Coturnix japonica: one gene and its partners. The protein of the gene in region 3 interacts with the protein of the main gene of each other region in a biochemical or structural test. Links are inferred from orthologs where the notes say so. Each region holds a gene or a part of one and is shown on either strand. Other genes may lie near its edges. The genes, in order: PDGFA, PDGFC and PDGFRA.

Region 1 (4,109 bases), on a different chromosome or scaffold from region 3:
GCGCAGCGCTAAATGCCGCTCCGGCGGCCGCACGCTGCAGACAGGCCTGGCTGCTGCGAGCACGGAGTTGCAGTTCGTCTCCGCTCCCCTTGGGATTTAAATCTTATTGCGTAGAGACAGATTATATATATATATATATATATATATATATATATATATAATTTTTCTTTCCTTCTTCCTTTTTTTTTTTTTTTTTTTTAATCTCTCCCGTGCAAAGTGAGGAAGGAGCTGCACCAAGGCAGCCCTCGAGATCTCGCAATAATTGCTCCGATTTATCGCTGCTATTATTCATTAATTAATTCCCGTTTTTAAGCTCACCCATCTGAGCGGGCCGCTCTTAAGAGAGAGAGACGTTTCCATCCGTATCAGTCATTTGATTTTTCGCCCTTTTCGCAAGGGAAAAAAAAGAAAAGCGGAGAGAGGGTGCAGGGCGGCCCGGCGGGGCGGGGGGAGACGCCGGCAAATCCCGAGCTCCGGCGGTCCCGGCGCGGAGCGGCCGCGGGGGGAGGCGGGACCCAGCGCCGCCCGCCAGGGGGGCGAGCCGCCCCACACAGGTGATGGGCGTTTCGGCTGCGCTCCGGATCGACTCCTTGGGTTTCACTTTGGTCTGATCTAAGCAAATATGCAGAAGTACCGGCTGGTCTAGTCCTAAGAGCCAAGAGGAGCGAGCGAGAGCGGCAGAAAGGAGAGCGGCCGCGCTCCCGTTGGAGGGGAACGTACAAACAGCGGCAGCGCCGTAATTCCAGCACCGCCGCCCCGAGGCAGCCCCGAGCCACCCTGGATGCGGAGGACCCTCGAAGCCACCCCGCTGCCTTTCCCCTGAGGGATGGTACTGAATTTCTGCGCGGCAGGAGCCGGCCTGCAGCTCCTCTCCATCAGCGTTGCCTTCCCTCCGTATCTAAAGTGCACTAGACCGCGATGAGGACCTGGGCTTGCGTTTTGCTGATAGGTTTTGGCTACCTGTCCTTTACCTCCTGCGAGGTAGGTGCGAGCGCTTCGCCGCGTTCTCGGTGCCCGAGGGACGCCGCAGCCGGGGCTCGGGGCGGGGAAGGGCTGCGGCTGTGCCCACCTGGGGCCCGCGGGCATCCCCGCGCCTCGGCCCGGCTGGAGGAACCCGCCCTACCCCAACCCCGAGAGGCAGAAAGCAAGTTGCCATTTCGTGCGTGCCACCGGCGAGGGGAATGACCGTGCATTCCGCTCCGGGGCTGCTGGCTGCGCTTGAAAAAAAAATAATAATATAGATGTACATACGTACCCGCATGTTTATAGGATATATAATAGAGAGATTCACGCCCCCCGGGTACAAACGGGCTGCGGTTATTTGCAAACAGAGCGGGAGCGGAGCCGCCCGACAGCGGCCGCCCCCGCGGCGCACAGCGCAGCGCGCAGCCCCCGCGGCACCGGCAGCGCTGCGGGAACGGCACGAGACGGTGCGGGCACGGGTTGGGTGCGGGCCCCGAGCTGAGCGAGGCCCGGGGGGCGAAGCTCCGGGGGGTGGGTGGGAGTGTTGCTACTCCCCGGGCTTCGCTACAGGTGCCTCGGGGTGGGGAGTGCGCGCCGCTCGGCGCTGCGGGGCGGCTTCAACTTTCCCCGGCCCCGGGGCTGCGGTAACCATCCCCGCTCCGGGAGAGCCGGGGTCGCCGCGAACTTTCAGACCGTTCGGGCAAACTTCGGCGGGCGGCTCCCAGCGGAGGCGGGGGGGGGCTATGGGAGAAGCGGCGCTGCTCCGGCGGGCACCGAGCCCGACAGCCCGGAGCCGAACCGCTCCGAGGTGCCCGGCTGAGCCGTGGCGCAGCCCCGCGGGTCCGCTCCGGCAGCCGGCGGAGCCGGGGGCGAATGTTTCCCCCCCTCGGTCCAAAAGCCCCGCGGCGCCCCGCGCCCTATTGGAAACCCCGTGCCCATCCCCCCGGCCGCGGAGCGCCGCGCGGAGCTGCGCTCTGACCCGCGGTGTGTGTGTGTGTGTGTGTGTGTGTGTGTCTTTGAAGGAGGCCGAGATCCCGCAGGAGCTGATCGAGCGGCTGGCGCACAGCGAGATCCACAGCATCCGCGACTTGCAGCGCCTCCTGGAGATTGACTCCGTAGGTAAATTAGTCCCGTCCTCCTTCCTTCCGCGCCGGCGGCCGCCGCCGCCCCGGGGGGGTGGCACCGCTCCGCGCCCCGCTCCGCTCCGCACCGCGCGGGGAGCCGGGCTGCCGAGGGAGGCGGCGGCCACGGGGCCGCTCGGGAGTTCAAACTTCGTGGGGTTCGGGGTGGAGAGGGACCCGGTGACCCGCGGTGTTTTCAGAGCTCAACGTCTGTCAGCAGAGAAGAATTTCCGTAAGGTTTGCTGTTCTTGCATCGCTCTGTTATCTTTAAACTACTGTCCTAGAGGTATTTAAAATATTTGAAACAATATTTATGAATGAAGTAATGTCTCTTCAAGCGCTGGGCTTTATTAAAAGCAAAATAAACCGTCCGCGTTGATTTTGAGCAGGAACCTGTGCATGGAGCTCACCCTGACAAACACGCTTTTCCCAAAAGAAAATAGCACGGGGTTATTTTCTGCATCATTAGGCGTGCAAATGGGTGTAGTGAGAACGTGCAGTTCAAACAGATCGTTGCAGCAGTAAATCAGATGGAGCAGCACAGGGTTGCTGGCTGCCTTATCGTTGGTTTCACTGGATGCACTTTGTTCCTGGTGATTTCGTGCCTCAGTTGTGAGAGAACAAACCCGACACCTTTGATGTGCCCAAGGGAAACCCGCATCGCTCTGAGGAGCAAACATGGAGAGAAATGAATGAGTTCTTGCTTGCGTTGGTACGGGGCCATCTCTTTCTAAACCATAAGCTGTGTGTTTTTGTAAAGGCTGTGCCAGGTTCAGTTACCTTCATTCAGTGTTGCAGGATCTTTCTAGAGTGCAACTCATCGCATTTGGTGTAGTGCTACGTTGAGGACAGCATTGGAAGATGTCTTAGAGGCATAGCTTTCAATTTTCATGTGATTAGGGAGCAGAGTTTCCCATTATACTGAAAATGGGAGTATTTCTTTCTTGCGCAGTACTTTACCATAGAGACCAATTAGTAATTACCAGATCTGTTGGCATTGCATTAGTATTTTTGGAGAGCAATGCTTCATCATCAGTGCAATTAAAGAAGCTTTCACAGCAGAGGAGGGGGATGCAGTGCATATCTCCCCTCTGAACATTGCTCTGGACCAGACAAGTGTGCTACTGCTGAAATCAGAGGAGGGCTGTGCTGCAGGAGGGCTGGAGCTGAGCGCTGGGATGTTGGAATGCTGTATTTGAGTCAGTGTTGTGTAGCTACCAGAGTACGTCTGTGTTTTCAGGTATGCCGTGCTTCATTTTTAAATACCACTTGCAAGGAGAGCAAAAGTTCACAGGGCTCCACTGAGGCAAGCAGACAAGTGGTGGAGGGAGCTGAATCCATCAGCGCGTGTAGCAGGGGAGAGAAATGTATTTCAGGAAAGAATTATTTACCTCGTGGCAAATATTAACCAGAGGATGTGTGACCAAAAACTGAAGAGGTCAGCCACGAGTTTACAGCTTCGTTCTGCTGTTTCCATGCGATGTGTCAATTTAGAAACCATTAGAGAAACGAGGCATACATATTTCACTATTTCAGTGCAAAATGGTAATGCTTTAAGACATGAACTCAAAACAATATTAAAAAATAAAACATCCGGCCTTTCAGCCTCTGCCTGCTCTGTTTGCACGCACGCTGAGCTACGCAGACAGGGCTGGATCTTCATAGGCAGTCTCTGCTCCTTCCTACCTGCCTGTATGCTTTCTGGGCATGGTCTTTGCTGCCGTGAGTAATGCCTATGGAGGGGTTATCAGAGTGACTAATCCAACATTGGAATTACCGTGTTTTCTTCAGCTAACAGGATTGGGCCTGTTTACTGTCTGTAATATGGGCTTGGCTTAGCAGATCAGCTGTGTTTTCCCTGCTGTTGGTGAGATGGTCTTTCTGAAATAAGTGCATTTCTTTAGGGCTGTCGTTGCATTTAGGGAAGGGCTGGTTTGGTGAGGGCCTGTGCAGTGGCTGTATGTCTCTTTTATGGCATGTACTGATTGGACTCAACAATCAGAATTACATACTCCAGCAAGTATC
Region 2 (3,650 bases), about 40 Mb from region 3:
TTTAGCTGTCAGCCTTTATATGTTACTATAATAAGGTACGATTACAGTGCATGTTTTCATTGTAGACTGAAGCACAGACTTTTTACATAGTTTCAAATGTATTTTCATCACCATGCTGCTTATATAACAAACAAAAATGAAGTAACTAACTGACAAAACTAATTGCCAAAAAGAAAATAAAGTGAATTACTCCCCAGTACAAAACTATACATGTATTTAGTTACTAGGGTTATTAATTAGGTAACTGAGGATTGCTACGGTTTACTGAGTGCAGCGTCAAACTTGACTATATACAGATTTTTAGAAAAGGTCAAAGATAGTAGAAGTCTTGTGCTATAGCATGAAGATTTTTATTTTTTTTTTCCTTTGATGTGCTTATGGAATTAAATTTTGTCATTTAGAGATCTCATCATTTTCTGTCATGATGTTGAAAAATATTCAACTTAGATCCGTGCCTCCTGTTTGCAGCTCAGTCTTCCATACAGACTGATTCCAGCTGCTGAATATGAATTCCTGGGAATGCTGGGCACTTGGCAATGAGGTTGTTTGAGTTATTGTGAAGAGAGTTGTGTCCCTGACAGTCACGGTGGCCAATCACCAAAGGAGTCCTTTCCTTTTGGCAATTCCTCACACTTGTGAATTCATCACCAAAGAAACTGTTTTAGTGCTTCTGTGTGCTTTAAAGTCAAATGTAGTCAGTGTATTTCTTCTGAGTTCATTTACTGCCACATAAAACATTTATTTTTACATGTATCTTGTAGTCTAAAAAAGCTGAAGAATTCTGAGGGATGCCCTCTGTAGGAAATTGTCAGTAAATGTCTTATTTCATATACTTGTATACTTCCAAATAGCTTATCCCTGACACACTCCTGTGTCAGGCTAATGTTGTGCCAGTACATCCCTCAGCATGGTTGCAGCCATCATAATCCTTGTCACTGGACCCAGTAAATGTAGAAGTCTCTTCTAATGAGAGGCAAATTTATACCAGCCCTTTTGTGTGGTAGGTGTGTGGTGTGAGCAGCCCTGCCCTTGTACCTTCAAGTGATTTCTCTGCACTTCCCAGTAACAATGAACTGGAGCCATCAGCAGCCTGCATGATTTGGCTGCTGGACTTCTGTGAGGGCTCCAGTCTTGCATTTATGTGTCGGAGTTGAAGGAACCATACAGTCACATTTCTCTTACCTCCACTTGAACATGTGTTGTTTTCTGACCAACAGTTGGAGCTTGGGTTTGATTAATTTTGTTGTTTTTGCAAACCAAACTTTATCTCTTAATCTGCTTTTACTGAATAGATTTTCCTGACAAAATGAATTAAAAAGCAAACAGAACAAAGGGACTTTTTCTATGTATGTTATACACTTTAGGAAGAGGGGAAGAAATACAGTATTGATGTGTTTGTTTTCTCTCTTTACTACAGGAGTGCAGGATCCTCAGCATGAGAAGATAATAACTGTGACTTCTAATGGAAGTATTCACAGCCCCAAGTTCCCACACACATACCCACGCAATACTGTGCTAGTGTGGAGATTAGTAGCAGTAGATGAAAATGTGTGGATACAGCTTACCTTTGATGAAAGATTTGGGCTTGAGGACCCAGAAGATGACATTTGCAAGTAAGTTACTTTTGCTTTAACTTACAAAATATCATAAAGAAGATTTGGGGGATGGAACAAGAGTATTGCTCAGGTTTTGCAAAAATGTTTCACCTGCATATCAATATATTTATAAAAGCACATCTCTAATGTATTAGCTACTGATTTTCTTTTGCAGTGCTAGGAAAGCATTTCATGCTTGAAATATCATTTGAATGTCATATCCTGCTTTGATGTGTTCCTGGGGAGGTATTTCACACCAGTTTTTCCTTTCCAAGTAGGTTTTTTTTTTGCTTTATTTTTTCCCTCTGTTTTAGATTTTATTTTTTTTTTACTACTCTGTATGTTTGCTACTTGCTTTCAGTTTTTCTAATTAATTAATCTTCATTTGTTTGTATATTTCATATCTATTTTATTATTATTAATTTATTATTTTTTTTCAAGTTTGGGTTTCTTAGAGGTTACTTTTGAGCTTATTCTTATTTTGGGAGTCATGGATCGTAACAGATGGGCAGATATCTTCTTTGTAATTCTGAGGAGAGTAATTGTCAAGGCCATGTCAAATATAATAAAGCATATGTTTGCTCAGATGAGTGCACTCCCTTTTTAAATGAAAACTTAGCTTGCTTTTTCTTTTCTTTGCATGTGGCAGAGTGAAGTGAAGTGAAAGAAAATCCAGGTAGGGTGACTCATTCATCCACTTGCAAAGCAAAAAGTAAGATAAGTTAAAATATTTTTAATCTTGTGACTCGAATAGTATTTTAGTGGGAGTACATTTATTTTAAGTAAACAAGGAGATGAATACAAAAGCGCTAGTCAAATTAAAAAGCAGTATTAAGCCACTCATAATCTTCACCCACTCATAATCTTATCATGCTCATATTTGTGCATGTATACCAGGCAGCTGGATGTTTGCAAATCCTGGTATGTGCACTTTTGAGGACACATTAGTCTTTTTAACTTTGAAGATACAACCCTCTGAAAAAGAAATGTTGTTGTTTTTGACAAAGAAAATGTTCCTATATGGTTTAACTTCAGTAACAATGTAAGTAAAGGAAGGGAATATGTATCTTTTTTATGTGAAGTGAGTACAAACAGTTGACAAGTTAAGGAAATGAAAGCATTTAACTTTTGCAGAGTTTAGCTGCGTAAAGCAATTCTACACAGGCCAGTTAAATTATTATCATAATAATCTCTGTACAAGTAATGTCGTGTTTCTTAGGTCTTGTTCTTACTAAAATGATTTCATCTTCTTTCTCCTTTCTGTAAAAAAGCTGAGGGCTTTTGTTGCCTCCATTCTATTTATGACTCTGTTCTGTTTCTGCCATCTTGAAGGTCACAAATCCATATTGTTGTTGGAAAAGTAATCGATAGTTTCTCAAGACCAAATTTATATGACAAAGAACAGAATAAAATATAGAATCATAGAAAACTTAGAGTTGGAAGGAACCTCTGAAGGCCATCTAGTCCAACACTCCTGTGAGGAACAGGGATACCACAGCTCCATCAGGCTGCCCTGATCCAACCTGGCCTTGAAAGTCTCCAGAGACAGGGCATCAACCATATCACTTAGAAACCTGTTCCAGTACCTCCCCATCCTCACTGTAAATAACTTTTTTTTCCTTATATCTGACCTAAATCTCCCCACTTTGAGCTTGAAACTCAACCCTTTTTTTCTCACCACAGACCCTGCAAAGGAGTGTATTCCCTTCTTTCCTGTAGCTCCCCTTTGGATACTGACAGGCTGCAATCAGGTGACCTCGCAGCCTTCTCTTTCCCAGGCTGAACAGCCCCAGCTCTCTCAGCCAGTCCTCATAGGAGAGATGTTCTATTCCAAGGATCAATTTGTCTGCATCTGTTACTAGAAGCCAACATCTGGCTGGCTTGGCCATATTTGGATTTCTCCAGAGTCAGTTCTGACACTTCACTTCTTGTCCAGAAGGATTTTAACTGGTACTGAAGGTACCAGTTTAGCCTCCCTTTTAAATAGTTTCCTGAATCTGAATCTCATTATCCTGCACAGCTCTTTTCCATTCCATTTTTACCTGCAGTTCAACT
Region 3 (3,650 bases):
GTTTGGTATGGGGTGAATCCAAGTTTAATTTTGGCCAAAGAGCAGTCTGGTCAAGAAAACTGTTTGGGACTTCATATTTGTAGGCATGTCCTCTAGATGAGAAACATGGCACCTCTGCACTGGTCTCAGCAGATATTGCGGACCTGGGCAGAGCTTGGACTAAAATTAGCTCTCACACCAAGTACAGTCCCTCCAGAAGCTTCAGGAGCTTGGAAATGATGCTGTCTGCATGGTCCTCATGTCACAGAGAAGCAGTCCTCCAGCAGGCAGATCCCAGTCGTGCCTTTATACTAAGAGTAATAAATACACAATTTAATTTTGGTCTCTGCTGAAGGCCTTGACATCCAGAAAGTGATGGAGCTATTGCATTACAGATGCCTCCAACTTGTAAGCAGTCACCTGGCTCTGAATTTTCAAGTGCAGAACAGATGGAATGTGTGTGGAGAGGGGTGAAAAGGGGAATAGCAGCAATAGCTCCCTGTCACTCCGGAAGTGCTCCCCCTGCCTCTGAATGCACTCAGGCTGGGCCGAGGGACGGGAGGGAGATGTGTGTCTCATGGTTTGGGGAGGAATTGGCTCGTGAAGACAAGAAGATCAAGGAGCATCAGCAAACGCGATCACTTTCTGAAGGGCTGCATCCTGCCATGTGGCTCCCAGATTTTCGGGCTGAAAAATTTCAGGGGCCAAATTTCAGGTTGTTTGAATTAGTCTGAAATTTAGTGGGAAGATTTCTCACATCCTGAATGACTGGAAAGAATAACCTTTGGAGCGCAGGAATCTTGAGAAGAAACGGCATGGTTTTCGTGTGCATGACAAACTACACTGTCATGATCTTGGAGAGGTTTGTTAGTTGTAACTCAGCACGCACCATTTCTTGCTAATGATGTAGATATTTATTTTTTTGCTGGAAACTTTTTTCCTAAGGAGTGTATACAACAAAAGTATGGGCTGTAGCCTTAGGATAACAGAAACATGTGGCATTGCATGCCAGATAACACCTTCAGATGTGCAAAAGGCAGAAAGTTCAAACTGCAAGTGAACATCATGGACAGAATGTCATTTATCTCCATAGTAAAAAGCCCTATATAGTCTCCTCATGTTGGAAGTTAGAAAAAACAAACACATGAAATGAAAGAGCTCATTGGGAATATGAAAATGTCCTGGCATCTGGAGCTCATATAGGGATTCGTTTACTGAATAAATGTTGCCTTAATGAACTTGCTGTCCAATATGGAATCAATGAATTACAGCATTTTGGATAATGTTTGTGCACTTCATACTTCTCTAGAATTCTGCTAAATCTATACACAATTGTTCTGCACACTGCATCTGTAATAGAAAACAGGATATAATAACCAAAACTGTTTGTCTAAATTGATTTGTGGGAAGAGTAAATGTGTATAAACATAAGCTGTTTCATCATAGCACTTGGAAATTTGCAATAAAATTTATTCAAACAGATGAAACACACTTGTACATTAAACTTCAGAGGAGTTTCCCTCATATATGATCAATATGTATTTCAGCTTCCTTCATATTACTGATGGTCCTGCTTGTCTGTTTCTAAATGTTCTGCTGATTCTCTTCAGCCTGTCTTGTTGCTAGCTGTATCAGCATCAATATAACAGCCCAAAACCACAGCTGGAGAGCCCAGTTCATATCTGAAATGAAGGGCACAACTATACTCTAGTCAAATACCGGCTGAGGCAAGTTTAGACATAGGAATTTCAATGCTTAGGAAGGGTGAGTGTGGGAGGGCAGAATTAGGGACATATTTATATGAACTGCACTGTTTCTCAGAGCTCCTGTCCTACAAACTCGCACATATAGATGTGCTTCTAATGATTGCTTGCTTTCATTTGGGAACTGTACTTAATTTCTTTAAAATATATTTGCATTTTCTGTTCAACAACATCACATTATTTCTATTATTATTACTATTATTATTTTTAACACCAGTGTTCTGAGTGAGTGTACTCATATTCTGAAGAGGAACAGCAGCAGGAAATGAGGCTAATTGCTGTTACACCCTGGAATTAATAATGCTCTTCCTCATGTTCAGGTCGAATCCTTGGTTCTGGTGCATTTGGAAAAGTGGTGGAAGGGACAGCATATGGATTGAGTCGTTCTCAACCAGTGATGAAAGTAGCTGTGAAAATGCTAAAACGTAAGTTATCACTGTTCCGTTTTCCATTCTAGTCTGTGCACGTTCCCATTGGGTTATTTGAGCACTGTTTGTGTATAAGTAGCTTCTCAATATCTACTTTCAAATCTACCTGCAGTGTGGATGAAGCTGGTTTGTACCACTTGCTCAAGAGCAACGAGGAACTTCCTAGTGCTGTAAAAAGCAGCTTGCAAAGTCCCTCTGTGCCACACAAGCAATCCAGTGTACCCCTGGAAAAGGGCAAACAGATTGGGTCAACTCTTGAGATAAATTAAATAAGTCCTCTTTCCTGGTGGATATCTGAAGCCCTTTTGTTGCTTACAATGCTTCTCAACCAAGACATTTTGTTTTCCTTCTCCTGCCTTTCATGTCTTCTGCCCCATGGAAGAGGTCTCCATTAGCAGAGCTGGTGGTCATTCATTAGGTATTCAAGAAACATGGAGGTGTGGTACATAGGGATATGGCTTAGTGGGCAAAATTAATGTTAAGTGGATGGTTTGACTAGATGATCTTAGAGGTCTTTTTCAACCTTACTGTCTCTGTGATTCTATGACTTATGACTCTTCTCCAAGTCTGAAGAAGTCCCATTTTCAAGAAAAGGACACAGTCTTCTTCAAGAAATAATTTTAGAAATGTTCTTCTGAGGCAAGCAAAGGGAGATCAATTATTATTGTGAAAATAGTGATTGCTCTCACTCAGTGGTGTGTGTGCTTTTTCAACAGCTACAGCTAGATCCAGCGAAAAACAAGCTCTGATGTCTGAACTGAAGATAATGACACATCTTGGGCCCCACCTGAACATTGTGAACCTGCTTGGAGCTTGTACAAAATCAGGTGGGTATGGCTGATTAAATGGAAGCTTGCTGTGGAGCTGCCATTCACTGTTTAATAATCACACAAATATCAAGTGTGATTGACCTTAACATTTAATATGAATAAATACGAGATTTCACAAGCCTACTTGTTATTTGGTAGTAGTTACAGTCATAATTTAATACACTGAAATCTATTAACTTCTAGTAATCTTCTTGTTCTATATTTGATTCTATGCTGTCTTTGGGAGCTGTCGTTTTTGAAAGATGAATTATTTTGCCTTGTTTCATCAGGACCTATTTACATAATCACTGAATACTGCTTTTATGGTGATTTGGTGAACTATCTACACAAGAACAGGGACAACTTCCTCAGCCGACATCCAGAGAAACCAAAGAAAGACATGGATATTTTTGGGATGAACCCAGCTGATGAAAGCACAAGAAGGTGGGAAAGAAGGGGAAAAGAAAATGTATGACCTACAATATAAGGAATAGCATTACTAATCCTTATTCCTTACCCTTCATTCCTTGATTTGGAGCTCTCAATAATTCATCTCAATGGGCTTTTGTTTATCAGTGTTGTAATATCTAAAAAGATTTCAGCAGCAATCAAGCAATGTCATAACATCAGCCAGGATTAAGAAGGGGACAGAAATTCCTTCAAAAAAACAC

Evidence for each region.
Region 1: the proteins of PDGFRA (region 3) and PDGFA form a complex in vitro, tested with the Homo sapiens proteins (2 studies listed by BioGRID). The link is inferred for Coturnix japonica from reciprocal best matches to the Homo sapiens genes PDGFRA and PDGFA.
Region 2: the proteins of PDGFRA (region 3) and PDGFC form a complex in vitro, tested with the Homo sapiens proteins (2 studies listed by BioGRID and IntAct, with this or other methods). The link is inferred for Coturnix japonica from reciprocal best matches to the Homo sapiens genes PDGFRA and PDGFC.

Annotation. Positions count from the first base shown.
Region 1 is NC_029529.1:2,121,030-2,125,138, reverse strand, and holds the start of PDGFA (platelet-derived growth factor subunit A), read left to right. Parts: upstream 1-1,259; coding exon 1,260-1,430; intron 1,431-1,985; coding exon 1,986-2,082; intron 2,083-4,109.
Region 2 is NC_029519.1:18,797,051-18,800,700, forward strand, and holds part of PDGFC (platelet-derived growth factor C), read left to right. Parts: intron 1-1,417; coding exon 1,418-1,613; intron 1,614-3,650. UniProt on the Homo sapiens protein: Growth factor that plays an essential role in the regulation of embryonic development, cell proliferation, cell migration, survival and chemotaxis. Potent mitogen and chemoattractant for cells of mesenchymal origin.
Region 3 is NC_029519.1:59,014,069-59,017,718, reverse strand, and holds part of PDGFRA (platelet-derived growth factor receptor alpha), read left to right. Parts: intron 1-2,062; coding exon 2,063-2,167; intron 2,168-2,886; coding exon 2,887-2,997; intron 2,998-3,269; coding exon 3,270-3,423; intron 3,424-3,650. UniProt on the Homo sapiens protein: Tyrosine-protein kinase that acts as a cell-surface receptor for PDGFA, PDGFB and PDGFC and plays an essential role in the regulation of embryonic development, cell proliferation, survival and chemotaxis.